Linked DNA regions of Lepisosteus oculatus. Each later gene encodes a partner of the first gene's protein in a complex. Links are inferred from orthologs where the notes say so. Each region holds a gene or a part of one and is shown in the gene's direction. Other genes may lie near its edges.

Region 1 (7,453 bases):
TTTTTAATATAGCTTAGACCTTAACCTTAACTGAACTAATGGAGAATATCAGAAGATCAACTGGCTGTTCTCCTGGTATGAGCAGGTGCTACTCTAAGCTAAAGGAGCCCATAGGAACCTGGCACCCCTTAGCTGGTGTTACCCACTCCAGATATAATCTGTGACATCAGAAGACCTGTCCATAAGTTTGCCTTGTTAAATTACTGAAATGAGTATTTTTTTCAGTTATTTCATTACAGACTTTTATTAAAAACACAAGAATATTTTAATAAAAATATTTTGTACAAAATGGGAAAATTAGATCTAATTTTTATTCTTTAAACGGATGTGCGTTGTTTGAAAATTAGACTAAGCTTTTTTTTTTACTTTTCCCATTAATACCATTATCAGAGTGGATCTGGCTAGCAATCATATGAGTGCAAACCTGATCAGACACAAATCCCCACAAAGGGAAATACGTGTGTGCTAATTATTATCATTATAAATACCACAGCAGTTAAAAACTAGAGTTTCTGTAAAATAACACACTTGCAAGACTTTAGCGACATGGCCTTTGTGGGCAATAAGACATTACATAAAGATTTCCTTAGTGCTCTTCTAGAACAATAATAGAGAAGAAAATCGATTAACCCAATACCTGTTCAGTAATTTTGAACTTCACCAGTTAAATTACCATAAATGCTCCAAAATAAGTGGAATCCTCATTCAAATACACAGAGTGGATGTCATGAACCTTCAAAATGAGCTGGTCCCCCTGCTGCAGCTGGAACAGTGCCCCCTGGTGGCTGGAAACTAGATCGCGTTCCAGCTCCATGTTCCAGCATCCAGTGGAGGCAGCCTTAGAAAGAAGGATAGGCTCCTGGTAAGATGTCTTCCTGTATATGTAGTGTAGAAAAGGCTGGGCCTGCTCCTTGCCAGCTGGGCGCTGCGAGTGGTAATAAACCTGGGAATAGACAAAGTAAAGCCCATCTCGCGGCACCACTATGCCTCCATCCTGACTGTATCCCATCATGCCTTCTTGCACGGCCATGCCATTCACATTGTCCCAGCGTACAACGGCTCCTCTGGGAGTCGTCATGGGGCCCCATTGACTGCCTGTGGAGTACAGAATAAAGACAATGAGCAACAAGCTTTCCTACGGAAATCGAACAAGACACTAAATGCAACACCGTCGTGTAAAAACATGCTCCCACCTGGCTTTAGCCACAGAAACTGTCTCCAGCCCTGCTCGGGGCCCAGGTGGATGGCTGGTTTGTTGGCGTGGGTCAGGGACACATTGTGGGCTGTGAGAAATAGATGAAAACATCACGGAAAGAAGTACCTTATAAAAACCCCACATTTGCCTTGCAGATGGTCTGATACTTATCACAATGCCTACAGTACATGCTCAAAACCTCCAACTTTCGTTCGTCTTCTTGATCTCCAGCATAAACAAACGAAGCACTGTGCTTCTCAAAAACATGCCGCAGTGACTCAGTGCAACTGTCGTGACACTTGGGCGGAGCGGTGGCTCTGTGGTTAAGGATCTGCACCTGTGGCTGGAAGGTTGCCGGTTCAAATTCTGTGGTTGGCAGAGGAATCCTACTCCATTGGGAATTGTATATGCCTACTAAAGTGATCTTTAGGAGCAGTGCTGGGCAAGGGAACCTGTTGGACAGGATTCTGACAGTGTGCTGTGCCAATGAGGACAGTGATTTGAATATGTTGCAAAACAAAAACATACCTGTAAGCTCCTGATACAGGGTGTTCCTGACATCAGATATCAGTTGCTGCAAGACAAAACAACAGGCTCCAGTAGTCAGCACTAGGACGAGAGCGTGTATGTGGTGGACTGAATGACATATCCCACTTGTCTACGTCACTTATTTCTCTCTTGCTTGGGACTGCAAGGAGAAGGGAGCATTACAGATCAGGACTCCCATTGAGAATGGAATTGGGTGTTTCTGTTCTGTTATAATAATTCTTTACACTTAAATAGCACTTTTCTGGACACTCCACTCAAAGTGTTTTACAGGTAATAGGGACTCCCCTCTACCTAAGTGCAGCCAGATGGCACCAGTACACTCCCCACACACCAGCTCTCAGTGGGGAAGAGAGCAGAGTAATGAAGCCAGTTCAGAGATGGGGATTATTAGGAGGCCATGATTGGTAAGGGCCAATGGGAAATTTGGCCAGGACGCCGGAGTAACACTCGTCGAGATTCTTTTGAGAATCATCCTGGAATTGATAATGACCACAGAGAGTGAGGACCTTGGTTTTACTGAGTGTCCCTATCACTGTAGTGGGGCATTAGGACCCACACAGACTGCAGGAAGAGCACCCCTACTGGCCCCAATAACACCTCTTCCAGCAGCAACATTAGTTTTTCCAAGGAGGTCTCTCATCCAGGTACTAACCAGTCTCATTCCTGCTGAGCTTCAATGGGTCGCCAGTTGTGAGTTGCAGTTTGATGTACTGTAGCTGCTGGCTCGTCTATTAAGCTCTCCTTTCCCTAGTCTTGGTTAGTCCAGCGTGAGTGAATCACTGCCTGTTAAGTGGGAGTCTCGTTACCTTCCCGATAGTTTTCTTGAGCTCCGCATTCCACTGGTCACAGCCGGCAAGGTCTTCAGAGCTGAAAGATGCATTTTCTCGAAGGCCTGGATCCACTAGGTACTGCAAACACTGTACAGGATACTCTCCGAGCCTGGCCACCTCCTGGGTCTGGATAAGTGAAGTACAATCAGAGGCGTAATTGCAAACGCAGGACGCATACTTCTGCTCTGTAACCGGGCGGTACAAGTACCTGCGCCTCTTGTGTTTCGAATGATCAACATGGACTCAAAATCACAGTTCATCTCACTTTTTTTTAGATAACGATTAACCCGGTAGTCATCAAACAATTTAAAAGTTTTTAAAACATCTAGAAAATGAGCGGCTTATATGCACAAAAAAAGTAATTCATAGTACAGGAAATCAGTATTCCGACAATAAAAAACATATTCAAGCAAACTAATGTTCCAAAATAGTTTTCATCGCCGTTTTATTCTCTGTCTCCTAAGTGAAGTCCAGCCAGAACTGAAACTGATCTGTTGCTGAGCAGCGCGTACAAAAGTCCACCGACATTACTGTACCTTCAAGGAGTTCTGTAAGGATGAGCAAAGCCAGTTTTTACTGTTTAATCAAGAACAGTGTGTATTAATATGATAAGCTTACCTGCTTTATTTCCAGAGCCAAACTGTAGAACAGATAGGCAGCCCCAACCACTTCCGCTCCGAGTAAAAAACACAAAACCAAAACGAAACTATTCCAGCTCCCGACGCTCAGCTTCCTCTTGGGCGACAATTTCTCCTCCAGCTGCCTGTAGATGCGGTGGGTCTGGGACTCGGTAGTCATGTTTCTGTCGTGGGGATCCACATCGTTATGATAACTCAGCAGCAAAGATTAAAAACAGGGTCTACAGAGAAATGGGAGCCCCCCCAGCCGCCTTACTGAGCCCAAGCAAACCTGCCCGTTACAAGAACTGCGGTCCTTCCCAGTCGGAAAGTCCCGAGCGCAGTTAACGCCTCCTGAGTCACTGTGGGTGGGATGAACGTTTTCGGAGGCATTGATTTATTTTGGTTTAAACCTTTAACTGCAGTTATTTCTACAATTTTAATGCTAGCAATTAACAACAGCGACAACGAATATGATGATATTATTTTTTTTTGTTTTTGAACTTCACAGGTATGCATGCATGAATGCGTTTTGTCGCAGCCTGAGAAAATGTAGACAACACACAGCTGACCTGGACCTCATCTATGGCCATCGAGATAAGAAAGATCGGTGAAGAAAACTCACAGCGGAAAAAAAATAAATAATGTAGCGCACGCATTATTTAGAAAACACAACAAACTATCTTTAAAATTAAGACAGAATCGAAAATTGTAAACTACTTAAAAAAACGAATCAGAGGACAGGGGATGATTGGATTAGCAGAAATGAAAAAAATGTTCTCAATCTACATCATCAAAAAACCCCAACAACAACAGAACCTGTTCATTCTCCGAAGACTTCTTATTCTGGAGAAAATATAGTTTTGTTGACTATGATGTCCTGCCACCACTGTTGCTGTATTTACAGTATATTGTACATTATTAAGCAGTACAGTACTATATTCATGAACAGACTTGTTTGCTCTCTTTGCAGTCGTGAATAGTGGGCTGGTTTACTGGGGGAAGGTTCAAATTCAACCCTATGGAATTTGCAATATATCCATATGTCTGTTTATATAGGATCCGCCCCCGACCTTCGGAAACTTCCGTCAGTATGTCTGGCTGCTTCGGCAATTTCCGTACGCGGGTCTGGCGGATCCGGCACAGCGATTGTGTTGTCTCGCCGTGGTTATTCGGTTCCCCTTTCGTGTGTTTCCGCGAAGACTCGGCACTTGTCGTAGCGGAAGGGGGAAAGCCTTTGCTGTGATGCCGCTGGAAAGATGGCCGCTTTCGGGATCCTGAGTTACGAGCACCGGCCCCTAAAGCGGCCGAGGCTCGGGCCTCCCGATGTTTATCCGCAGGACCCCAAGCAAAAGGAGGTGAGGAAAGGGGGCTCCGGGCTGTCTGAGCCCCAGCAGGGCACTGGAGGGGGTGCCCGAGCGGGCTGGCTGGGAGTCGGGCTTGCAGGAGAGTCCGAGGATGCAGCCTGGGCCTGTTTTGTGCTTCAGTAACAATAACAATGAGCAGATACACAGACGTGAAAAATGACATTAGGTTCTTGCAAAACTGTTTGAGTTTTACGTGCAGCCGGAGAGCTCAGTAGCCGCTGTTGTACAGGGACTTGTAAAAATAACACCAGAAATGCTGCTCACCTTGTGTTTTTTAATAATTTTATATGCCCAAGGTGGTTTTCTGCCTTAAACATAGACGCTGTGCTCCAGTGTTTATGGCAGAGATGGGAATATTCCCGAGCAGGCTGAATACACCACAGCAATGTGTTTTAATTATGCACGGAGCTACGGTTATCAGTAACTGAGTGCAGCAGTGGTGCTAAATGACGTGACGAGCTGTTGTGCACTAGCTCTGTGAGCCTGGACGCCGGTTTGTCGTTGAGAAGCAGTTCTGCTGTCCTTCTAACCAGTCCCGTACAAGAAACTTTACAGTTTCAGTGCGGTTGTGATCAGCCTTCCCCAGATCGTACCGGGGTGACTGACGGCGCGAAGCACTTCAGTCGCTGCCCCTTACGGTCTGAGAGACGTTTCTGAAATTTCATGTCTTATTGCTGTGTGAATAGCACACGTAGAAGGCGTCAGAGGTCATTTATCAGTGTGGAATAGTGTATATAATATACATATATATCGCACTACTGCAACGACATAGCTTGCTGCCGAGGTTCTTGCAGCCCAGGGCACTTGTGCCAGCTGGTTTGGAAAAGAGCCCACCAGCACAAAGCAGGCAACATTAGATAACTCTAAGGAATGGTTTTCATTTTCAGTTTGTAATCACGACAGTCTTGTCATTAAGCACACTGCTGTTTATATATCAGTGTGGAAAACACTAGCTTGTCAGGAGTCTGCAAAGTAAGAGGCAGGGGGGCAGGTTTGGGTGACATTTTAGACGAGACACGGGGAATGCTTTCCTTTTTTGTGTACAGCTCGGTGATCAAAGTTGTGCCTTGTGGGATGTCCTGTGTCTATCGTCAGTGCAGCTTTCACACTCCGGTGTTTGCAAACGAACGGCCAGTGTAGCCCGTGCGCCGGTGGGGGAATGGAAGTGTGTAGCACCTCCTGTCCCAGCCGCAGGGTGGCGATGACAGTGCTGTGCTGCTGGCCACTCAGTCTTGGTGCTTTATCCCGTCAGGATGAGTTGACAGCTCTGAATGTGAAGCAGGGGTTCAATAACCAGCCGGCGGTTTCGGGGGACGAGCATGGCAGCGCCAAGAACGTCAACTTTAACCCCTCCAAGGTAAGGAAGAGTCCTCAAGGTTTGCTTGGCCTGCGTTCTTCAGTGCCATCTGGTTGCAGCAGTGTGTGCCACTGTAGGAAGCAAAAGCTCTCATTGTCTGCTGAATTTGTGATAAGTTGACATGGGTTGATGGAGTTGTGTACCTTTTTGTTTCTTTGGCTTTACTGTAAACAGAAGGGCATTTGTGAACATGAGCTTTTGAAAGATAACAACTTAACATCGCCACTCTGATTGTCTTTATTTCACCTATGTGCTGTTTTTGTAATTGATGTTATTTGTTTGGTTTTCTTTGCTTCTCAATAGATAGTCCTTTAAGTAATACTTCAGCTTTCTGTCAAGTTATGGGATAATAATAGTGGAAGTCTCTAACCCTTTTAGTCCATCCACGCTTCTGTTACAGTATGAATTCAGTGCTCATTCGGTTCACGTTCTGTTCACAGATCAGCTCCAATTTCAGTAGCATTATTGCAGAGAAGCTGCGATGCAACACGTTCCCCGACACAGGAAAGAGGAAACCCCAAGTCAACCAGAAAGACAACTTTTGGTTGGTCACTGCGAGATCCCAGAGCTCCATCAACAACTGGTTCACAGACCTGGCTGGAACAAAGCCTCTCACCCAGCTTGCTAAGAAGGTGTGAACAGTCAAATCCAGTTCATCATGCTGAACTTTCTCAAGTTATACGTTAAGTGTTATGCTTGGTACAAAATGCATTTTTCTTTTAAAATGAAAAGAACACAACTTCACATGAAATGTAAAAAACACATGTAAATGTGTTTATGGAACTTCAGTCTGAATATGTAGATAAAATAATTCTGAAATTAACTGCATGTAAGGGAGAATGATGAAAGCCATATGTGCCTCTGAGAGCCTTTGATTCCTTTTTGTTTGTCCTTTGCTTTGACCAGGTACCCATTTTCAGTAAAAAGGAGGAGGTTTTTGGCTACTTGGCCAAGTACACTGTGCCAGTAATGCGTGCTGCATGGATGATCAAGATGACCTGTGCCTACTATGCAGCCATAACCGAGACCAAAGTGAAGAAGAGGCATGTGATTGACCCCTGTATAGGTAACCACTCCTCTCCCTCGTCCTTCATGTCAGTGTTGCCGAGCTTTGACTGATGTGAAGCTGTTGATTAGTAGCATGCTTGTAGCGGGGCTTTTGGAACTCTTTAGGAAGAAGACAAATGTTTTTTTTGTAAGATGTTGAAAGAGTTTTGTTTTCATAGCCTTCAGCAGTCCGGGGCAGGATCTGATTTCACCTCGGTTACTTAAAGGCTATACAGTGTTAGTTGTGCATTTAACTGCTTCATGAAGGACACAGTAAATATAATTCTGTTTGACCACAATGCAAGATGTTCCCCTTGAGCCTGTAGTTTTTTTATCGTTGTGCCCGTGTGCAGAATGGACCCAGATCATCACAAAGTACCTGTGGGAGCAGCTGCAGAAGGTGGCTGAGTTTTACCGTCAGTCGTCCAGCCAGGGCTGTGTCTCTCCACTGCCCTCCACCCCAGTGGAGGTGGAGACGGCGATGAAGCAGT
Region 2 (8,034 bases), on another chromosome or scaffold:
AAAACATTTCTATCGCTTAGTTATACGTCAGTATTTTATTTTTAACAGCGTGGTTCCTATTTGCCTCGCAGGTATTTAAATAACTTTTTAAAACGCTATTTTGTGACATGTTTCAGTTTGCAAAGAGTGAAGTGTTCAACAGAAGCTCTGTTGTACAGAGTGACGTGTACTCTACAGGCTCCGGTATGTACTGTCGCTGTAGTCAACATGGCTTTTGAAGGGATTGTTGGAGGCTTAAGCCTATGATATATTACGTTTACTGTTGCAGTGACATGCAGCAGTTTTGGATCACTCGTAATCAGTGTCTCATTCGACACATTTTGATATCCGCAGCTGGTCACCCGCCTTCGTTACCACATTGAAATGGAAACATTGAAAGACTAGAAAAGTGTCACAGCCTCCCGACACATACAGGTTACACCCCTTTTGTGTTTGGGTGTTTGACGTAATAAGAATTCCTCACACCTATATAGCGCCTTTCTGGGCACTCCATTCAAAGCGCTCTACAAGTAATGGGGACTCCCCTTCAACTCTACCAGTGTGTAGCCCCCACCTGGATGACGCACCAGTGCACTCACCACACATCAGCTCTCAGTTGGGGAGGATAGCAGAGTAATGAAGCCACTTCTTAGATGGTGATTATTAGAAGGAGGCCATGATTGGTAAAGGCCAGGGGGAAATTAATTGTTAGCTTTTATTCTTGTCTGCAGTCAGACTTTTTCCGCAGTTTATCTCTAGTTCTGTTGCATGCTATGGTTTAAAGGAGGGTGGGTTAAGAGGAATTTCTTTAGAAAGGTCTTCCTCTATGATCAGAAAAAGCGCTACTGTTGTGGGCATATTCCTAACAATGGGTTTGTCATAACAACTGGTGCTGTTTTTTTTTCTTGTAGGACATTGCTCATGAATGCAGGAGCAGTCCTAAATTTTAAACTGTAAGTAACGTTTGTGCAATATTTTTATTAGTGGAAGAATTACTGTTGAGCCATTTTTACCATCTGGTAACTGGTTTTAACAGTGTCCTCATTTTAATGGGTAATTCCACTTTAGTGAAGTCCAGAATTTTGAAGTATCTATAGCATTTAATGCAGCAGTAAAACAAACCATGTTAAAATGATTTCAAGATGACTTGGCCTTATAAGGAGAAGATCCTGAAGAAAAATCTTATGGCTTTCCCCTGTATTAACAAATAATGCAGTGGCCAAAATATAGGAGTATTGTAAAAATACCAGTTTACTAGTGATATTTAATCCAGTTCTACAGTATTAGCAGTTAGGTGGACAATCTCTGTGGTCTCTTCACCTGATTTGAACTTTTTTTTCCCCCATTTCTTACAAAATGAAGGAGATAAAGTCCTAGAAAATATTGTGTCTGAGTCTGCAATGTCATTAAACAAACCAGTGTTTGAAATTCTATTTTCTCTTGTGCCACAGAAAGAAGAGAGAGTCTCAAGCATTCGGAGATGAGTCCCATGGCCCTACAACAGGTAACAAGAAATCAACAGTCTGCTTTTCTGTTGCCTCTGGATATGTGTATCAGTAGTAGGTGTAGCGCCAACATGATACAATTTCCCCACTGGAAGTTAAATTTGAGAGATTAATGCTGGTTAGTCCTATCTGGTCAGTATAGAAATGTAGTGTTCAATATAGAATTTTAGGATGGGGTGGAATCTGACTGAATGGGGGGCGCTCACGGCACGGTTCATTTCTGAGATGCACAGCTCTTGCAGCTAGTCTACCTTGTCTTGCATGCAGTGCATGTAGCTGAATAATGAAATGGGCCATTTAGTTTGGTTTCTATGAGGTTTTAATAGCTTTTAGAGAGTTACATTACAGCCAAGCAGTTGGAAAAGAGAGTGTCAATCAGAGCATCAGTGCAAAGTGAGGAAGAACATTCCAATGGCTATCAGCATGCTACATATTACACTGTTTAACCTGAAATAAGACATCATATTTTTTTCTTTCGTTTTTAAAGGAGACAACATCCGGGAGTTTCTTTTGAGTCTCCGCTATTTCCGGATCTTTATTGCCTTATGGAACATTTTTATGATGTTTTGCATGATCTTGTAAGTACCGTTTTTCCCGTGATTGGCAGTTTTTGCTGTGTAACTGTGTACTGTTGTCTTTAAACACTTTAACTACTCATATTGCAATGTACAGAGAATGTGTTTTAAGAACAGGAATGTGATGTTAGTTTTCAGTTCTTTCACCAGGTTTTCAGACAGTTATTGACAATAACAATTACAGTAATTAAAATACAAGATGTTGAGGGAGAATTCCTCCTCTTACATTTTTGAGTTGACCTGTGGTGTTTTTCCTTTCTGAAAATCTTTGAATGATTTTAATTATCATGCATATATTTAGTAGCACACAAAGGTAAATGAGAACATATTATCTTGTTTTACTCCAGCAGTATAAAATATTGTTGCCATGTTCTATATTCCTCCTTTTCTGATCAGGTTCTTGTGGAGTAACCTCTGCTACTGCTCAGAATAATTTGGTCCTGTTTTATTTTTTTTTCACAGGTTATTTGGATCGTAAGGATGAGCTGTAACAAGAAGATGCACAAAACCATACCTACATGAATTACCTCCCACACAAGACTTTTTATACATGAACATTTCTGGGTATAAGACTACTTGTCATAAGAGTTAAAGGGCTTTCTAAATGCTACACACATCACTTTATATATGTAATTGGAATTCTTACACTGTTTACTCTTCTGGTACCCCATTTTTATAATTTGAAGTGTCTTTTCCTCCCCAATGTTGAATGCCAAATGCTCACCTTCTCCAGTGATGCAGATTAAAAAAAGTGAGCATGTCCCAGTCTTTCCAGCTGGAACACTCTTTTTGCCCTGAGACGTAAGTACTTGAGAAAGGTGGAGTTCTGTAGTGTTAGATGGCTGTGCTCGGCTCACACAGTCTCTACACAGCTACACCTGAAGCCTGCTTGCTGTGGTTTCATGGGGTGTGAACATGGGGCACTTTTTTATTTCTTCCTTAATATCTCGGCTCCCAGCTTTGTGTGCCCATTCAAGATCCCCATGTGTGTAGTTTGTTCAAAGCACATGTTCCCTGTAGCCAGGCTCACGCCTTGCAGACAGCAATGATTATTTAGTTATCGAACAGACCAGGCTACTTAGTTATCTTAAAGCATTGCGAACATCAAGGGACCAGATATCTGAAACAAATCTTAGGGTATTGTTTACACATCTGTATCTGTAGCCTATAATGTAAACTTTTTTGAGTTAATTGGTTGTATAATCATGATGCAAATCTCCCTTCATCCCCAATGATCTCTATTAAACCTCTATTGTCTCATGTTTATGTAAATATAAATCTGTACATTGTGACTTATATTTGTGACTCATTATTGTTTTAAAGTATGCTGACTTTTGTTGAAAAATTAGAAGGAAAAACTTGACTACAGTATAGATGTGAAATACTCAAATTAATCAAAATATGCTCTCAAATCTTGTCATTTGTTAGGGTACCGAATGTGACCTATGGTTCTCTAATCACATGCACCTTATTTTTGTTTTATGTTTTTATACTATAACTGGCCAACTTTGTATACTGATGTCATTAACTTCATACCCTTATCTGATAAAATAGCATTTATTTGGATTTTAAAAACCCTAATCTGAATTTTCAAAAGCATTTGTCAAATATTTCCTTCTACCTTTTTCTAAAATGACGTGCAGTTCAGTGTGGTGAAAAGTGGCCTGTTGATGGAGCCAAGTACCAGTACTCCATAACCCTTATAAAGACCTTGTCGTTGGTTATCAGTGGGTATTCCGATAATTTAAGTATTTAAACTGTTATGTACTGTGTAACATAAATAGAAGTGCTTTAACCCGCAGTCATTTGTTATAGAGAAGCCAGCAGGGGGCGTTCTTCCCAAACGATATAAGGCAATCCCATATGTTTAGGTTGGACTGTGTTTCAGAACAAATAGAAGTACGACACAGATACGTACAGCAATAAGAGCTGCATGTCGTGAATGTGCATGAGAAAATAAGCCAATTGTTTAACTGACTACTCGTGTTGGACGAAAATTAGAAAACACTAAGACCTCCCTAGTTTGACGCATTATCCTTCTGTTTTTAAAAATGCTATATGAGAAATTCCTAGATTTGTTTTTGTTTTCAGAAACAATAGGAAAACGTACATTAGATTTCTGCATTTACTTTTCGTTTTATCTAGAACAGCTCGTGTTTTGTTGGGTCATTTTGTAGGTAGCTTTTCTTGTTGTTTTTTTCCACCCCAGTTCCACGTATTATGTCCCTGATTTAATTACAGCTTCCACTTCTTCAACAGTCGAAGCCGTGTCTGTTTTTAAATGTTCAAACCCAGTTTATCGCTGTATCCTGGTATAGAAATTCAGTTTTATGGAGGACGCAGACTCTCCCTCTTCCCACCCCAGCCAGTGCCTAGATGACTAGAAAGTACGAGTAATTGCATTAAATCGAGAAATTTCGGCTGTGGCGTGAAAACTGCGCGGCGGGGCTGTGACTTTTTTTCTTCGCAGTTCATGTGAGAATCGGGACCTGGGCTTGCACGTAATCCAGGGCAGACGTTAGCTTAAAACGAGAGGCCGGTCTGTATCTCGGCTCCATGCTTTCCGAGCCTTTTGTGCTAAACCAGGTGTGCGCGGATTCCAGAGCAATGTATTTCTGTGTGTGTGTGTGTGCTCCTGTGTGTCACACGTCTCAATCTCATTGTTCCGCGATGCACGCTGCAATTTCCAAAAAAGCCGGCCCACCTCCCTTTATGAGCACCCAGTGGTCCCAGCGTGTACCGCCGGCCCAGCCTGTCAGACGTCTGAGCATGTGTCTCACTAGCAGGTGGCTACGTGACGACGTCGAGGCTGTTACGTCGAGTGCTTTCGTGCGTCCGGTGTAGTTCCCATCATGCGCCGGGCGAGCGTTTTGCTCCAGTTTATTTCAGGGAGCCTTGGAGTTTGGAGAGCGCCGGAGTGATAGTGAAGCACAGGCGAGATCGGAGCTCCTTCTCCCGGGATATATACATACATACACACGCACACATATACACACGCACACGAAAAGCGAGCGAGAGAAAAAGCGCCACAGAAAACATGCCGCGCCACTTCCTAGCACATCTCCCGAAAGGCCTGTGAGTGTGTGCAAGTCACCTACCCGTCTCTTCGGAGGAATCTTCCCCCTTGCCCAGTCCGCCGATCCGCACCAGCCCAGGCAATGACAGCGGCCTCGGCAACCCCGCAGCAGATGAGAGACCGGCTGCTACAGGCCATCGATAGCCAGAGCAATGTGAGTAACGGCGCTGTCTCCCTCTCCCTCTCCCTCTCTCTCCCCCGTATCTCCGTGCGTTGCGAGTGCTCCGGCTGCGCTCGCCCGGGTGTCCCCGGTACGATCTACAGGTTATCACCGCGCACCAAACACGAAAGGGGACCCCCCCCTGCCGCCACCACCACCACCACCACCACCACCATCGGGACTCCCGGCTCTAGCCAGGAGCCGACCACCGTCCAATGTGGTCGAGAGGTTGTGCAAGACGTTGGAAATGCAGTGTGGGGGGGAAATGTGTAGCCAAGCGCAGGAGTGACTTGTCCCCGCCTGGACAAGTTCGATGCTGACTAGCTGGTTTGCTAAGCTGATAGTTTTTTTCTACCCACCCCCCCCCAACCCCTGCACTTAGGTTTCGCTTTGCAAGCTCCTCACGGGGCGAACGACACATAATTCAGCCCTATTTCAGGCTGCGATGGACAGCAGTTCGCTGTGGGTTGTTAAATTGAGGGTAGTCTCCCCGCCGCATACTGATCCTGTGGAAGTGTGTGTACACATCAGGATGCGTTGTCCTGTTCAGAGTAGCTCTCTTGTGTGTGTGTGATGTGTACATGTCAGTGTTTCTGCCCTCGAAATCATTCGTATTTTCCCAAAATGTGGGGTATAACCTAATGTACGTGTCATATATGCACGGGGAGAGAGCCTGAAAGAATGTCTAAACTGCTTTAAACTACAGTGCTCTTCTTTTGACAGGGCCATACTTAATCTGGGGGCTAAAGAAACACACTCTTAAAGTTGCACACTTTATTCTACAGAGTGTTTTCTAAAATGCCTCCCCACGTTTAACAACCCGATTCTTATTAAAAGTTCGGAGGTTCGGGTCCTCGGCGCTTGCTCTAGTCAAAATATCTCGGCGGCTTGAGCCACCTTCATCCCGGCTCGGGCTTGTACTCGAGCCCGAGGCTTCGGTTTTAAGCTGACGGGCCTACGAGAAGGGGGAACCGCTGAAGTAGATGTGTTTACGGCCTAAATGTAAAACTTTTCCGCCCGTCTCGTTTTCTTTTCGCAAGTTAGGTACCGTGGAAAATAAGTAGAAATACACTTTGGATTTTTTTTTAAAACGTATCTCTTTTCAGATAAGAAATTAGCTGTATCAAAACGCGATACATTTGTGCTATCTTAATGTAATATAATACTGTATTCAAGAAACTAATTAGGAGTTTAAGAACGTGTGATACTCCTGCTAATTTAGTTGTTTTTTAAAATAATGTTAAGTAAAATAAACTGATAAAAGATTCAACCATTTGTGTTGATAATGTAGGTGATATTTTCCTTTCTTGTGTTAACGCTAAGAAAAAGAAATTCGAATATAAAAAGACTGCTTAGAAGTCGAATTATAATGTAAAATAACGCTTTTTATGTTTGTTCGACATCTGCTTTCAGTGTTTACAGTGCTGTACTGCCTCCTGCAAGATTTACCCTCGACGTCATTAAAACTGACAATCACTCTATATCGAAATGAATTGCTTATGTCTGAGCAAATGTCTTTTAAAGACACGTGCTAAAGTGTTTTAGACCGACTTAAGTTCTTCAGTTGTACTGCGGCAGGGGTTTATACTAAGAAGTAACTGCTTAGACTTGACACAGGAAGTGTTTTCACGTACTTGGCTGAGGTTATTGGATGGCGAAGTATCGGTATGAACTTCAGATGTGCATTTGTAGGCACAACGTTTTAATTTGACGAATATTAAGAGTTTGGGGCTGGGGCACATGGAGTTTAGATCATGTGTAAGAAAGTTTCTAACACTTTGAATTACTTTGTTTTTTACGTGTGTGCTTTGCCTATTTAAGTGATTTTGTTTCGGTTGCTTCCTAGTTGCTGAGGGTCACAGGAAAGAGGGTGCCCTTGGGTGTATTAATGTTGTCCATGCTTTCAAGTCATTTCTAAGGCCTACTTAAAATGGGCTAGGGAAAACGGATTTAACCGGAGTCCATTGGTAAAAGCCTTTTAGTCCTTGCTTTCCTCATACTGGAGTGCTTCAGGAGTAGCTCCTGTGATATAAAGTAAATTACCCAGACATCCCAAACAGCATATCAATGTAAAGATGTGGTCAGATCCACATTAAAGTACATCTTCGTTCAAGAAAAATGTTTTGCAGATTGCAAAGCATGCACAGGTGGACAGAAAATAATGAAAGCACCAATAAAATTCCCCCGAATAGAGTGTGTAGCCACCACCTTCGAGGTGTGTTAACCATGGCATAAAGTCTACTAGTGTCTGGAATTCTGCAGGAGGGATGCATCACCATTCATCCACAAGACTCGTGCAAGGTTGGGGGAGGTAGAAAACACTGTCTCAGGCATTATTCTGGAATATCCTGCAAGTGCCTGTTTGGGTTCAGATCTGGTGACTGAGAATGCCATGACACACGGAGAACCTCAGTGTCATTCTCATCAAACCACGGGGTGACTTGGGGGGGGGGTCATCGTCCTGGAAGACACCCCCCCTCCCCCCAACCTATGGGAAAGACATGCTGCAACATTGGGAGGAGATGATCACTCGATACCTTTAAGTAGTGGGTAACGTTAATCTTGTACGTAAAAGCACCCCATAACATTAGGGAAGTGCTCTTTGCTGTGGGAAGGCCATTTACAACGATTGGCTGATTGCACTCCGGGTTGAAATTTGTCGAGTCACCCTTTTTACCCTGCACTTTGAATTCATGCGTGGATATCATGATCTTGGAGAGTGGGGGCTTCCACTCTCTG
Region 3 (7,450 bases), on another chromosome or scaffold:
TACTAGTGGAAACCGAATGGGACGGATGGACAGAATGGCCTCCCGCCGTTTGTAACCTTTCTGACGTTCCGATGGTTTGGAAGGTCGGGATTGAAGTCACTCACCTGCCCCCTCGCTTGTTGGTGCTGCTGTTGGAGGACCTCCGCAATGTTATTCTCCACAGCCCGCAGCTGCTGGTAAACCTGCTGTAGGAACTGGTCCGAGTCGGCCCGGTCCAGCTGGCAGCCCTGAACGAGTACCTACGGAGAAGGGGAAGAGCATCCTTAGCCGAGAAGGCTTGGAAAACGCATCTGAACAGGCACGGCACAATGGCACCATGTGGCTTTTATTATAAACACTTAAGAATCAAGTCAAAACAGCTGGCTGCGTCACTGTTTTCCTCCTGAATGCCTGATCAATACCTTGCATCTTCTTTCCTAATGTCTACACCTGTCAGTCACGCCTGTTTGAGTGTATATTACCAAGGCTCCCCGCCACAGACAGCTCCGTTATCAAACACTTCTCTTCACAAGAGACTAAGGTGTCAGAGATGACCTGGTGAGACTTGAGTCCGATGATGGAGGAGTAGGCCAGGATGGTGATGAAGATCTCTGGCTGGAACACCAAATCAGTTCCCGGGACTTTGAAGGGTCTTGCGAGTCCGGCCAGACACCTAGTGAGAGCGTGGAACACCTCGTCGAAAATCATCTCGCCCGTGCAGTCGTCCTGCCAAACGACACGCAACACGTCGATCAATCAGGCCAACTTCCCTGGAGCCCACCGAGATCCCAAAAGCGAAAGACCCTCAGCACACGGCCAAGGCCACAAGACAAATAACTTGACGAGCATGAAGCCACCAGGCGTTCGATCAGAGAACAAAGAAAAACAACTAAATATACAAAGTATTACTGTCAAAAACTGAGCAATTTTTTCTATGTCTAAAGTAAAGAACCCGACATGATTTCCAAGAAGTTCAGATTTCGTGTGGCAGAAAGACAAGCCCAGACAAAGAACCAGTCAAGTCAAATTGCCGGAGCTGTCCTTACACCATGAGCTTCTCTGTATTTGATCAGTCAGTGACTGGTGTCCAGGCCAGGATACAGCTCCGCCCTGTGACCTGTATGTGCTGGGTAAGGCGCTGGCTCACATGAGCCTCTTGGGATTCACCATCCTACCCTTGAAGACCCACAAACCTACCGGATTTTGCTCCAGAACAGATCCCAGTGAGACAACTACACTCTTAATCGACTTAACAGGATTGATTTGAGCTGTTGGACTGTGTTCAGCTCTAAAACATTTGCAAGTTCCCCCCCCCCCCCCGCCCCCCCAAAGTCCTCCACATCTCCCAGAATTCATTTTACTATAGTGATTACCGCAGATGCGGTGGGTTAACTTCCGGATCTAGGAGAGTCTAGCTTCATTTTTTTTCTTCAGGACAGTATTACCATTTTCTCTTATACATGTTTAAGAGTGTCATTTAATTATTGCATTTCATGAGTAAAATAAATTCCCAATTTTCGAGAGGAAAAAAAAACAGAAACGTTCCAACCAAGCAGCCGGTTAGCCTGATTAATTAGTTAAGTAATTAAGCTGGGTTGGAATGAAAACCAGGAGGTGTGGGGGTGTCCAGAACCAGGACTGAGGATCCCAGCTCTACAGGATGAAACAGCTGTGGATGAGAGACAGACAGAAGTCTGTTTAGGGGCTCTTCTGCATTCCCAAGCTGCAAGCGCTTTGCCACTAGGTGGGAGTAAAAGCCAACGGCCCAGGAGTAAGGAAACTGAATTTCTCCAGGAAGGTGACCGAGCACAGGCGACGGAGGACACTCTTACCACGATCCCCGTGGACGGGCTCAGGTCCAGCTCGATGATGAAGCGGTACCGCCGGGCCAGGAAGGTGACCCGGGTGGACGGCACCAGTAGGTACGGCACAGTGGATGGAGGGTCACCAGTCTGCCAGCCCTTTGGTAGGATGCTCAGGACATCCAGCTCATTCTCCGAGCTTAACTGGTGCACAGAAAACCAGCGGGACTTCAGTTACTGGGCACAACAGCAAGGACTGAACTTGTTCCCCGCAAGCACGCAGCGTAGGTCCAAGCACGTCAGTCCACCCCTTAATTCCAGACCGCTCCTTCCCGAGGCGACAGGAGTCCAGCCCCCGGTACGCCACAGCAAGCACACATCACCAGCACAACTCTAGAGCCGAACCGGTCGGCTTCGAGAGGATACAACGTTTAAAAGCGAAACATGCGGGCAGGGGCGTGAGCGGGCCCACTCACCAGCTCGGCCCCCGGGTCGGGCTGGACCACCTGGTTGAGTCGGCTCAGGAACCAGGCAAGCCGCACGTTTCGGGAGATGCGGTGCTCCTCCTTCATGAGCAAGTACACCTGGCCGGCCTCCTCCACCTGGCGAAGGAACAGGGAGCTCAGAGCGTCGCTCACCGGCCCGGGTCGTTTCACCCATCAGGGCGCCGCAGGGGGCGGCCGGCCGGCAGCGTCTGCACCGCGCGCCCTGGCAGCGCCTCCTCTCGAAACCCCCAAAGAAGAGCGAGAGGCGTCTGCACCTGCCACACCCTGAAAGTCAACACTGGCTGGGAAAATGCTTGCAGCCACGATTTTGAAACCACGAACAAGATCGCAGCCTGCAGTCGTAAAGAATAACATTCCCAGGAGGGACTCGGCTGCTATCAAGACCCCGGCTGCATTTTCTTTTTTATGGACCACACTGACCACAACAGGATCTCAAACGGGCTCGCAGGCAGGCTGGCCAGCAAGGTGAAGCCGTTCTGAATATAGCTCCATGACACATGGGTGCCTTGGCGATGAAGGGTTCTGATAAAGGGCAAGACTGGGCAACGTCACGGCTTTTATGGCCTGGAGTGATGAAGTAAATTGTCGTTTTTTTGTTGATTCACAGCTACATGTGGGTAGGTGGCAGAAAGAGTACTGGGTGCCATGCTGGCATGAATTCCATCAACAGTATGGTGGTCTCATCCGTGGGAGACATCCTGTTACAATTTAAACCCGTCAACACTACGCACACTGGTTAGGGAGAATACACATTGCTACATACTGTGCATTTGCCAACACTACCCCCGTCAGTGCATTAGCGTGGCTGCTTCTGAAAACCTTCTCGTCTGACAGAAAGCACTACCGACAGCTTGCAAACCACGGACGTGCTTTACGGTATCTAGTGGTTATGATATTCACTGTAACAAGGAAATACGCGACGACAAGGAGGCTAAGGACACTTAAGAAATGTGAATCGGCGAAGGAGTGAAACACCTGCTACAGCAATCCCAATTATTACCTGAAAAAAACTACAATTACAAGCTGCAAGCTGCAAGCTGAACACCTCGGGGGTAGTCGTGTGTCGTTAGACTAAAATAAAAACGTTCAGTTATCAGTCATGCTCCTACGAAACACAAAAAGCCAATCGATGCACAGAAACTCGAACAGCCATTTGGACTTTGCTAGTCGCTAGTTATAGCAGTACCACCAGCACTCCAGCCTGACACAACCGTTACGGAGAAATTACGCATCTTCCACAAAATGCACGGAGCTTTGAGTCATTTAAGACATTGCCTCTTAGCCAGTCCTTCTATAGCCATAGTAACACGCCCAGCTTCCCTCATGCGTTTATTTTACTTGTCATCCTATTGCGAACTGGTCTGATCTTCTTTCTGCGGACACCCCGATAACGTGGGGACAGTGTCTACTCGCCTCGGTGTCCTGTTCCTCTGCCATCCCGGGTCTCGCATCCCCAGGGGTGTCAGCGTGGAGCTGTGGCGGCGAAGACTCCTTGTTTATTTCGCTACAATTTTCTGTTTATTTGGCACAGGCTGCACCGCGACCCGGAACTGCTTTCCGCTCTGACCCTGCAACGGGATTAAACCAAACCCATCCGGAAATATTTAAAACAGCTCATCTGTTGTCGAATTGTTGCAGAACTCTGTGGTGTTTGTTTTAAAAAAAGAGGGCATTACGAGCATTTACCAGCAGAATATCTGGCAGACAAAAGATGCGCCACTGGCTAGCAACGCCTGTCGTCTCTGCTTAATATTTATTAGTATCTTCTGGTCACGATCAAACTTTTGAATTTTCTTGCTTCAGGTAAAATGTTAGATTCCTAAAAACGAACTGTCACAGAACAACCGTTTTCATAGATGCTAAAATAAAGAGCCGTTGAAAGTAATAAACTGACCCCCGGTGACACATGACTATTCTAAGTGTGTGGCAAGTCTTTCCGAGGTCCTCCACATATCCCAGAATTCCCTTCGCCTCTTTTGAATGACCATAGACACGGGAGGATAACTTCCGGATCTCAGTTTGTTCAGTTTCGGTTTTTATTTTGGATAAACAATACGATGCAGGTGAGTACTAGCCAGCTGGTTTTATTTATTTTTTAAATCATATTGGAGTAGATTAACGTGTTGGGTAACCAAACTGTGTGCATTTTGAAATCGAAATGCTGTCTTATGGTCAGATTGGGATATGCTAACCAGTCGGTTCTAGGTTCATTCTAGTATGTAACCGCTGTTCTTGAACAAGACGAATTCTTAAAGTTAAGAAAAAAATATTAACTCGTAAAAACAACAAAAACGCAGACCGCAGCTTCGTATTTCGTTACCTTAGGTAGTTCTGAGCTCATATTAAGTTCTCAGCGTTTTCGACTAGAGCCTCCCAACAAAGTCTGTGCTCAAGTGTAGCTAAAGTCACCCTTTCGATAATATAGCCATCCGAAAAATGACTCGGGGAATCTTACGAGCTTTGTTTCACCGGGTGGTGTTTTCTCCCCATCCGTGTGCAGCAGCGGGAAGAGAAACAGTTGGAGGCGTCTATCGACGCCTTGATAACTCGAGTGGCCCACCTGAAAAACTCCCTGCACAGCTTCATCTTCAAGCTGGAGAACGAGTACGAAAGACTGGCATGGTGAGGGCTGGGTGCTTGCAGGTGTTTTACCACTTTCCCGAGAAAGGAAACTTGAAAACATTTTTTTTATTATTATTCTAGATCTTTTGCTTAATATCGTCTAGAATAACTCTCGCAAGACCGAGAAATCTTGTGAAGGGTACTGTAACACAATGTCAGACAGACTAATGTGTGGCTGATGAGCTTTGTAATCTTTGTCTTTAACTTTGTGTTAATGATAATTGATTTTAAACTTGTAGACAACACCAGAGAATAGTAGTTGCATACTTCTTTGGGTAATGTTTGTACTTTTGGTTCGCCAGATTCCAAGACTTACATTTCTAAGGTCTTCCATAACCACTTTCCTCAGGATATTGCAGTTAGGTCTAATTAAATAAAATATAGACATGTAAGTAGTAACTATTTTTAATGAGGTATTTATTATTGTTGGATGAGGAGAGAAGGAGCAGATGTGACCCAGGGCCAGGCCCACTACAGGAACAGTAGTATTGTGACTGTCAGAGCTGGTCATTTTTAGACAAGTTTTAGGTAATTAAGTACAGTTGATATTAATTTTTATTGTTGGGTTGTAGTTTTAATTCCTTGCTTTTTACTCCCAGATCTTTGATAGAAGCACCATAATTAATATTGTATGTTGTTCTTTGTTTTTTAGGCCTTCAGTGCTGGATAACTTTGCCCTCTTGTCTGGCCAGCTTAACACCATCAATAAGCTGTTGAAAAATGAGAAGACACCTGTCCTGCGCAGCCAGGTCATCATCCCTCTACTTCTGTCCCCAGACCGGGACGAAGAGCTGGCTGTGAGTCGCAGTTCAGTTCGCTCCTTTGCCATGGCTTTTCTCTTCTCAGAACGTGCCTCGCTTTGTGCCGCTGTTGTCAGCGAAGCACACAAAGCAAGGAGACGATCACCAACATGTCATTTAAAACCCTGATTTCTTCTCGATGGCCTGCTCAAAGCCAGCCCACTGTCAATTTTACCGTTGCCCCTAGAAACTGACGGAGCAGCGCGTGCCCGTGTTCAGCCATGAGATTGTTCCGGACCACCTGCGCACCAAGCCAGACCCGGAGGTTGAGGAGCAGGAGAAGCAGCTGAACGCTGAGGCAGTCCGCATCGGCCCCGAGTTGGCACAGGTGAGTGTCTGAATGCCTCAGGTGCCCACCCTCTAGGGCAGGCTCTGCCGGTGAGCTCCAGGTGTCCTATGGGTGTTCTACCACCGTCGGACTGTTCAAGAACCTTGATGTCTTATTGAGCATGCAGGGCGATGACAGCTCTTTATCTCTAATAATCATGAACAGGTGTTGTTCTGATGAGAGTAAAAAAAACAAACGTCTGACAATCTCCGCGTGCCCTCCGTTTGAAGCCTGGCTTTCCCATCTTGTGCAGAAACAGATACAGACGCTGAACAAGCTGTGCTCGAACCTACTGGAGAAGCTCAACAACCCTCGGGAGGACCGCGAGTCCGAGAGCGCAGGTATCTCGCCAAACTGTTGTCCGCTCCAGAACCCGCAGGAGGCTTTGAATGGAGCAGCCTGTAAAAATAAAAACACTTTGTGAGTCACGGCGTCGTTTCTTGGCAGCTTTGCGGCAGAACAAGCAGACGTTCAACCCCACGGACACAACGGCCCTGGTAGCGGCCGTGGGGTTCGGGAAGGGGCTGGCGAAATGCAGACCCCCTGGGTCCGGGGGCCTGGTCCCCCCGGGGCAGCCTGGGACCGGAGCCATGCTTCAGGGAGGGCCGACCCTGCAGCAGGTCACCATGCCTGGCACTTCCAACCCACAAGCGGCTATCGGCGGCCCCGTTCCCCAGCAGCAGCAGGGCCAGCCAGGTAAGAGCCTCACCTGCCACCTGCAGGACAGGTGCGATGGGCAGGAGTCACGCAGGTCGCAGCATGGCACAAAGGAAGAGTGGGACACCTCTTGTTGTTTTGACGAATACGACGTGATGAGAACAGTCATCCTGAATGATACTGACCTGAGCTTAACCATCTCCTGCAGTCAGCAGTGTCCCAAGTGCATCCGCAGCCCTTTTGTGCGTATGGAGCAGCTTCTTTCATGGAACGTGACTGTCTCCCTGTTATAAAGATTTTCTCTCCGTTATAGATCCTTAAATAAAAATCGGAATGAGAAGTCACGAGGGCTGAGAGGCCTCTTCTCCCCTGTAGCTTGCTTCTGTTTTTTTTAAATTCCCGTGAGCTAAGGGTGTGAATGGCAGTAACTGATCTGACTAGTATTGCTTTTAGTCTGTCAGATAAAAGTGGATTAGCTATAACTGCGGTATTGTGAATTTCAGAGGGACTGCTTATGGGGGGAAAAAAAGCTGAGCTCCACCTAATGTAACATTTTTATTTATTTTTCCGTTATGTTCTTTCCTTTCCTTTTCTTCCCTTTTATTTGCACGATATTTTTAGTTAGTCATGCTGCATTTGTACTTTGAGAGCTTAAAACATACTAAATGAAATCATTTAGCAGCCTGTTTTTTTTATACGTTTCCAATGACTTCGTATTGAAAATATTTATCCAGCTGAGATGGGTAACAGTATCTC
Region 4 (8,283 bases), on another chromosome or scaffold:
TTACTTGGCATCTTCTGTACCAGGAGACATGATCTTTAAGGGGAAAGACAAAGTTATTTTTAAAGAAAAACTTTTAATCAACTACATGTAACTTATTCTAATATGTATGTTATTTAACTTGTTGTTGGTGGTGCTGCTGTTCTGTGCGCTGTTAATATCTGTGTATTCTTTGTATTGGAGCACACATGCAAATACACATTTCAGTGCATATGACAATAAACTGAACTGAACTAATGTATATACAGCAGGTAATGAATATAGATTAAATACTATTCAAAAGCTGTTTTACAAATTCTATTACATTCTAATAACATTTTAGCTCACAATTTTTTTTCTTTACTTTAAAAAGACTACCTCAAACAAAAAAAAAAAAGAGATTTTTCACCATGGGCAGAAGACTTCTCCATCACTTCAATACTTTGTTTGCCAAAGATAAGTAACTGTTAACAGACTAATCAGAAACACCTTATTCTACAGGCTTTATAAAGTATCTACACATATTGTATTGCTAATTGTGACACTGGTTAATAGAAAAAAATACAGAAAAATATCTGCTGTTCACGTGCAATTGCTTACTCTTTATTATATGATTATATTAGTATGACTATAACATTATATCCATATTACAATACATACAAAAAATGCACTCTCAAATCTATTTTAAAAGTTGAACTGTGGAATTTACACAAATATATATATATATTGGGAAAAGGACATTCAACTTTGAAATATAAATTTAACAACCTCGTATGAATTAGACCTGCAAAATAAGGCAAGAAGATTAATACAATTTATCGATGTCTGAAACAACCATTCTCTAGCAATGATGTTAGAGTTCACTTGTTTATTACTTTTAAATGGATAAAAGCAAAGCTATAGCTTGTTTTGTAAAAATCAGTTAAACATGAGTCGACAAATAAGACAGACTAATTTGATTCCACCTGGGGTGTGGATCATGATATTGCTACTACACAAAACACTAATCAAAGTACAAAGACAAATAAACAAGAACTTCAACATGTAGCCTGTTCAGCTGTAACTTTGAAGATTAAAGGCAGGGAGGGCTATGTTTTTATCTGAAGGTTTCCATGTTGGCCAACAACAATTCCCATATTTAACAAAACAACTGAATTAAATATATGCTAAAACTCCCAACATTGTGTAAAACCAAAAATGTATTTCAGGCTTACAAATCTTGTAATATTGCTCTTAAAATACACATAAAAAGGAGCAACTGAGGTCCAAGGCAAGTACAATACAACTAACTCCCCATAAGAATTGCCTCAAACGAACAGAAAACAGACATGTTGATTCAATAAATTTAAACACAAAATACTACATAAAAATGACATCAAACTCACAGGCGGAGGAATAATTGTAAATTATGAATGTTGTGTCTGTATTAGATATTTACCACGATGGAATTGTTTGGGAATATACTGTACTGTATACTGTAAAAACTTTGTTTTAAGTTATTTAATGTGATACTGTTTTAACATAGTCTTACATATGCTTATCCAATTATTTTAGTTCTAAAACTAGCCTTTCATGGATATTAGTAGATGTGCATCTTTTTATTTAATTTTTGGGGGTGGATGTAACGCATATATCAAACGTAATTTTAAAAATTGAACTGTATGTAGTAATACATTTACGTAGACCATCATAGCTGTTTACTACATGTTGACATCCATAAGATATTAATCCTTGAAACTCACAGTGCCTGAAATGGCAAATTATTAATTTTATGCTTTACTAAAAAATAAAATCCTTTTGACATTTTGAAATGTTTGTGCATTATACGCTGCAATAACACAGAACCAAAAGAAACCCGTTTTAACTCACGCCGCTATATCAATGATCTAACTGCATTACTGGATGCCACAGGCGATGGTTTCAGGATAAATTAAAGCAGAAGACTATGAAGTTTGGCGTAACTCTAATTGCTGTTTTATTTATTTTTTCCAAGATAACCGCGGTTGTGGAACTACATCGCGCTAAACAGTGCTGAAGACATATCGTGCTCGTTTCAGGTGCCTCTCTTGGAAGCATTAGGTTCTTGTATAAAATACACTTGTATTACAGTAATTCTACTTTTATCATTGAAAGTAAGAGTGAAATGACGTTACGTACCCCAGGGCGATGTTCGAAGTAAGCCAGTTCATCTTTACTTAAAACGAAATATCTTTGTTTGTAATTGCAAGGTGAGGTTCTTCGTTTCTGCTGGGATTTCTTGAAAAGAAACTCTTCTAAAATGATTTGTCTATTCATCCTAAAGAAAATGATCCTTCATGGAGAAACCTTTTACTAGAGTCGAAAGAGAAGAACCGAGACAGTGTACTGTTAGTTTGGTATGGTGCTTACACAATAAAAAAAATGCAATGCACTATCTTCACAACAATCAAGAAGTATATGAGGTACTTAGTTTCCGGCAAGGCAGCAGGCAAAACCACTTCCTTCTGAATTCTGTTCGTAAATTAAAATCTTTCCAGAAATAAACCGAGTTTTTAAATGTATATATACATTTACAAATCCAAATATACACGTACAGAACTAGAGTTTATACAATTTTTGGGAGTGGAACTGAAAGCTGTAACATATGAATACATTTGTCACTTTAAATTATATCCGTGCTACGTACAGTAGTGACAGTACAGACATCTTAAATTATAAATAATCCCTTGGATTATGAGTCATCTGTCCACCCACTGATTTGCATCACACAATTATGTATCCCACGAATATTTAAACACATTTAATGATATAAATAGGTAAAAAAATAAATAAAACGGGGATAATAAATTATGTTTTTAAAATGAAATCTCCTCGCGTATACTTTTTGTCTTCCCACAAATGAACTGAAGACGTGTTTTGTTTCTTATATTTCACAAATTAAGAAAAGGTTAGCATTTTTTTTTTACTTTATGAACACTAAAGAGTTTACACAGACAAAATGAAAAAAAAAATCTACAAATTAACCACTTCCCAGGTAATGTGAAAGTCAACATTTGTACTCCTGGTTCGTCAGACTCAAAAGCATCAAATCAGTTATCTGAATCTATAACCATGTCTTGAAGATGTGGCTCTCTTGCCAAAGTGCATTGGGCTTGTTTTAAATAAGTATATCAGCGTTGGGCTTAACTCTTTAATATTGTAATTCTGGCATGTTCCCATTTAGGCTCAGAAAAAAAAGAGGCGAGGGACTTACTCTTTAGCTCTCTTATTGGCATACTGTAAGTATAAGATAGCTTCTCTACCAAGAAGAAGTCTGCAGCAGAGCAACAGCTCTCACTTACCCAGTCTCAACCTTGATGGTCTCTCCTCCAATTGGATTCCCTCTTCCAGACTCACACACGGTCTTATAAAACACATTGACATGCATACAGAACTGATCAAGTCGACATAAATGCATTAAAAGTTACTGAACAAGAATCAGTCCATGGAATCTTCCTGTAGGTACTTAGTTATATCATCTCTCTAGATCCTGACTCTAGAGCCAAGCCAGGTTTTTCCCAGTTTGCAGGTTCCCTGCTTCATTAGTCCCGCTGTTGAGATAGCCATCCCCCTGCTGGCAATCAGTTGGATTAGAGGTCTTGGTGCATAACTGCTACAACCAGGATACAGAAGTGGTTGGTGGCAGGTGTTGCACGTGGTCTGCTGGACCTAGAAGTCCTATAAGCTGGAGTCCAGCTGTTGACCCCTGCTCTTGGTGGAGGAGCCAATGTCCATATAACAGGGATCTTAGCTGCCCAGGTTTGGGGGAAGTCTCCTTTAGCTCAGCTGGCAAGTTCCCTTTAGTGTGACACCAGAGACACGGGTTCGCGCCCAGGCAGTGAGGGACCAACTGGCAGGTCAGGAGCGGCTAGGGCGGAGACCCCAAGAACCCCACACCTCATAAGGCAACACATCCCAGAACTCTCCATAAACCACACTGGACAGCTGTTCAGTGTGGGTCCCTCCCAGAATGCCACAAACACGGGCTATTGCCCCTCCTTCCTGCTTCCTGTGAAGCAGTACACCTAGACCTGCTCACAAAGAGTAGAGTTCTGGCCCCCATGATTAGATAAATAGAGGAGTTTCTTTGCCATATGTACGTGTACTTTGGGATTCTTACTTCAGTTCTCTTAGGACATGCACAGTGCAACCGACAACACCACACAATGTGGACAGTACATTACAAAACAGTAAATAATAAGCAGTGAAAGCATGTCCAGACAATAAATAAATTATACTGTTTCTGTTTCACCCAGTCCTGAGACAAGTTCACAAACTCTCAAAGTTGAATGTCCACGTTTTGGTAGCCCCCCAAACACCAGATCCACTGGGATGTGCAGCTCCTATAAGAAAATCATAAATGGAACCCTGAATTACATAGTTCAAACAGCAACATGCAGAACTGACACAGACCTTGACCCAGTTGTGGTCGAGAGAGCTTAAACAAGCAAGACTCAGTGATATGGTCCAGCACATTTGTCCGAAGAAGTGGGTTTGATTTTTCTTTTCATGTAGGGTTTGTCAGATCGTGGCACTAGTCTACACAGAAGACAATTTCGAATAGTTTTTTTTTTTCGGAAACCAGTGTCGGAATAACCAGGTTCTTTCCAAGGGTGGTTAAACTCAGTTATTCAGTTCCTTCATAGGACCGCTTCTCCTATGAAACCCTGCACTGTGTATTTTTCTCGGGGTGGAGGGTGATATCAATTTATAATTTAATTAGTAAAGACAGCACTTCTAAACTGAAACCCACGCTTGGGCCAGGCTGAAAAGCAGTAGAATAAACTTCCATTTTTATTTTATCAATTTTTTTAGACATTTCATATAATTAGTTGTCAATTTAAATACATTCCCTTCCGATCGCAAACTATTAGTAAAGTATTGCAAACTATTACCCTACTATTACTTCTCCGCCTACGCCCGCGAGAGGGAGGTACTCTCGTAGCCAATCGGATTTTACGTTATTAAACGCGTTACGTCCAATAGACTTTGCTGATGAATCTGGAGAGACTGGAAAAGCCAATGAGATCCAAAGAGGATCGAGACGGCTTCCAGCCAATGGCGCCTGGGCTTCCCCTGTTGTGCAGGAAGAGAACCGAGCGTTGTTGAGAGAATGCTAGATGTCTTCATCTAATATATTCAAGGGATTCAATACCCATTTGTGAATGCTTCAGAAATAGAAAATTATAAAGTCGACGAACGGTAGGTAGGAGTTTACCCTGCGTTTTTGTAAAAAGTGACATATGTACAGGTAGTGTGGGTGAATGGAGCGTGTCCCACTGAATAGCAGTCATATCAACAGCACCAGCACAGTCCCTGTTTTACTTTTGTAAACTGTTCGCTGTAAATACATTTCATTTTTAAATTTGGCACATTGGTGTCTTCGTGGTCCATACGGCTAGTTGTAATGTTTATAAGGTACATTTAACAAAAATATGCGATGTTGTAAGCCCCTTGTTTTCGTGAGCGCTACACAACGAATGTGGTGTACAGTGTGTCCTTATCCTGCAAGATGCTTTTGGATTGGTCTCGAAGATTAATATTTTGATGCAGGCATGTCTTATTTGGCAAGTGTTGTAACTTCAAATATTTTCAACGTAGTATAAACAAAAGTAAATGCTACATTCTGCGGGTTTTTTTAGATCGTCCGGGACTTAAATATAACCTAAAAAAAAATTGTTGTAGATAGATGGTCAGAGCCGATTGCTGAAACATTTTTCTCATCATTTTATTGTCAATATGAACTGATTATTCGTTAAAATAATCACACGCCCAATACTCATACATTGGAGTTTTACTTTACCATACGTTTGGGTTTAATGTTATGGAGTACATTTATGCTATTGGCAACTGTTGATCAGAAAGTGTTAATTTTTCTCCATCTTTATTAGGTTTGTGCAACAACTTTGCACATACGTTTATGTTTAGTTGCATTTTCCATGAGCATTGTGTGTTTTTTATTCCAAAACAGCTTTTTACACTGTATTTTGTCTTAAAGCAAGTTATTTCAGAACCGATCTGCATAACAACGTGGTAAACTAGTGCTGTTTAGCAACACGAGAATGAGTTATGTAGTTGCATAGCAGAGTTTTAAAAAAAAAGCTGCTGTCTCCACAGGTTCCACCATGGGCGAGCCACAGCAGGTCAGTGCCCTCCCCCCGCCACCCATGCAGTACATAAAGGAGTATACGGACGAAAATGTCCGGAAGGCCCTCGCCCCCAAGCCCCCGCCGCCCATCAAGGACACCTACATGATGTTCGGCAACCAGTTCCAGTGCGACGACCTCATCATCCGCCCCCTGGAAAGCCAGGGCATCGAGCGCCTCCACCCTGTTCAGTTTGACCACAAGAAGGAGCTGAAGAAGCTCAACATGTCCATCCTGGTGAACTTCCTGGACCTCCTGGACATCCTGATCAAGAGCCCCGGCAGCATCAAGCGCGAGGAGAAGCTGGAGGACCTCAAGCTGCTCTTCGTGCACATGCACCACCTGATCAACGAGTACCGGCCGCACCAGGCCCGCGAGACCCTGCGCGTGATGATGGAGGTGCAGAAGCGCCAGCGGCTGGAGACGGCCGAGCGCTTCCAGAAGCACCTGGACCGGGTGGTGGAGGTGATCCAGGGCTGCCTGGCCTCCCTCCCCGACGACCTGCCCCAGCCCGAGGCGGGCACCGGGGGGCACCCCCGGCTGAAATCGGAGCCCATGGACGTGGACGAGGCCGGTGGCGGCTGCATGGTGGGACAGGCGGACAAAGAAAAGGACAAAAGGGACAAAACGTGGGACAAGGATGCGGCCATGTGCAGCATCATTGACGAAATGACATAAACTGACTTTTCCTTGTACTTTCAAATACCACATGGGTGTTTTTTCTCAAAGCAATGCGACACCGCATTGAAGCTGCAACATCAGGAGTTGTGAGAATAAAGATATGATATTGTGTGGCTAAAGGGGCTGTGTACTGTATGCTAAAATGTTGATGTCCTCTTTGGCTGCATGTTGAGAGCAAAAATAAGCAGAAGTCACAAGTGTCTAGGGGATGAACAGTTTGAGTATTGTGTTATCTGAGGCTATGCTGTTGTTCAAGCAGGAAAATATCTCAGGAACCTTTCGGAAATAAAAGTCACACTTTTGAGTGGACATTTCTCTTTTCATTGCGCTGCAAGCTTAAGAAAGGTTTGGTATCCAGTTGACCAAAGCAAGCTTAAGGGGGAACTGCAGTTCCAACTTCCCAGACCGGTTATTAGATCTCTGTAACAAAATAATTGCTGGCACAGAAATAGTTGACAAATTCCAAATCAAGCACAGAACCGTGAACTTTGTGAAATGACTGTGTAATCTCCATTGTTGTCACAAACCCTTGGTCTCGTCACGGGTGAGAGTTCTCGAGAACTGCGTGAATTGTGACGTGGGGTGGCCCTTCCTGGTCACTAGTCCCTGTCATGACTGTACAGTACTGTATGTAATGTGATGTGATTTCCGAGCGAATAAGTGCAGGTTGTGCAGCAGACGTTTCACCCCAGAAACGTTCCAACGTGATCTGCAAGCAGAGTTAGTAAGTAGTATTTGAAAGGAAAACCATCTTGAAGTCGACAGTAATATTTCTATGGGATTACAAGAGATGTTTTCACAAGTCTGCTTGTTTACAATGTGATAAGGCAGCTTCACATCACTGGACGTTTTGATGTCTTGTTCTGAATCGCCGAATATAGTGCTGCACATACCTGGAAATTTTGCCTATTTTGAGATGTAAATTAGAGGTATCACATGTTACTCTGTATATCTTACTTTTATTAAGGTTTGAAATGCACTCTTCTGTGCTTATTCTTTGTAACCACGAAATATAAAAATAGTGTTGCAGTTTGCTTTTAATATCGCAGCCTTTTTATTCCATTTTTTTTAGATTCTCATTTTAAACTTATGCTTTAGCACCTGTTCTAGCACCAATTTTATTTCAGTTTTGCAGGATTAGATGTAGTGTGGTCTCAGACTGATTCAGTCAGTGGAGCTACAGTTATTAATTGTTTTTTTTTTTTCCCCATCGAATTTTCTAAAAAAAATACTTCAAATTATTACATTTTGTAACACATTTGAAAGGTCTAAGATAATAAAGCATTTTAGTTACCACAAAAAATTATAGGGCTTTTGAAGTATTAGAATTGATGTCTCACTATTATTCTAGTTCCTATGTCCTATTTTTGTAGCAAGTGAATATTGTAGATATTGAAACTGGGAACAATGAACTGGTATTGTCCACTTATAACAGTTTCACATTTTCCCAAAAGTAGCCAAA

Evidence for each region. The genes of interacting proteins can lie anywhere in the genome.
Region 2: med12 (region 1) and crsp7 share a complex: the UniProt entries of both Homo sapiens proteins name them as parts of the mediator complex. The link is inferred for Lepisosteus oculatus from reciprocal best matches to the Homo sapiens genes MED12 and MED26.
Region 3: med12 (region 1) and med8 share a complex: the UniProt entries of both Homo sapiens proteins name them as parts of the mediator complex. The link is inferred for Lepisosteus oculatus from reciprocal best matches to the Homo sapiens genes MED12 and MED8.
Region 4: med12 (region 1) and med7 share a complex: the UniProt entries of both Homo sapiens proteins name them as parts of the mediator complex. The link is inferred for Lepisosteus oculatus from reciprocal best matches to the Homo sapiens genes MED12 and MED7.

What each region holds. Positions count from the first base shown.
Region 1 is NC_090703.1:52,281,767-52,289,219, forward strand, and holds the start of med12 (mediator of RNA polymerase II transcription subunit 12), read left to right. Parts: upstream 1-4,366; 5' UTR 4,367-4,450; coding exon 4,451-4,549; intron 4,550-5,810; coding exon 5,811-5,915; intron 5,916-6,355; coding exon 6,356-6,547; intron 6,548-6,821; coding exon 6,822-6,981; intron 6,982-7,315; coding exon 7,316-7,453. Other genes in the region: tnfsf10l4 (tumor necrosis factor (ligand) superfamily, member 10 like 4), read right to left, coding at 665-1,095, 1,194-1,283, 1,724-1,769, 2,551-2,700, 3,193-3,372. UniProt on the Homo sapiens protein: Component of the Mediator complex, a coactivator involved in the regulated transcription of nearly all RNA polymerase II-dependent genes.
Region 2 is NC_090724.1:2,833,110-2,841,143, forward strand, and holds the start of crsp7 (mediator of RNA polymerase II transcription subunit 26), read left to right. Parts: upstream 1-4,791; 5' UTR 4,792-5,217; coding exon 5,218-5,289; intron 5,290-8,034. Other genes in the region: smim7 (small integral membrane protein 7), read left to right, coding at 891-932, 1,431-1,483, 1,972-2,062, 2,522-2,537. UniProt on the Homo sapiens protein: Component of the Mediator complex, a coactivator involved in the regulated transcription of nearly all RNA polymerase II-dependent genes.
Region 3 is NC_090704.1:2,358,981-2,366,430, reverse strand, and holds the start of med8 (mediator of RNA polymerase II transcription subunit 8), read left to right. Parts: upstream 1-4,207; 5' UTR 4,208-4,344; coding exon 4,345-4,350; intron 4,351-4,787; coding exon 4,788-4,909; intron 4,910-5,561; coding exon 5,562-5,706; intron 5,707-5,896; coding exon 5,897-6,037; intron 6,038-6,290; coding exon 6,291-6,378; intron 6,379-6,484; coding exon 6,485-6,733; intron 6,734-7,450. Other genes in the region: KICSTOR complex protein SZT2, read right to left, coding at 105-239, 535-705, 1,812-1,985, 2,258-2,383, 3,701-3,724. UniProt on the Homo sapiens protein: Component of the Mediator complex, a coactivator involved in the regulated transcription of nearly all RNA polymerase II-dependent genes.
Region 4 is NC_090706.1:30,433,264-30,441,546, reverse strand, and holds med7 (mediator of RNA polymerase II transcription subunit 7), read left to right. Parts: upstream 1-5,040; 5' UTR 5,041-5,196; intron 5,197-6,111; 5' UTR 6,112-6,119; coding exon 6,120-6,818; 3' UTR 6,819-7,855; downstream 7,856-8,283. Other genes in the region: itk (tyrosine-protein kinase ITK/TSK), read right to left, coding at 2,134-2,271. UniProt on the Homo sapiens protein: Component of the Mediator complex, a coactivator involved in the regulated transcription of nearly all RNA polymerase II-dependent genes.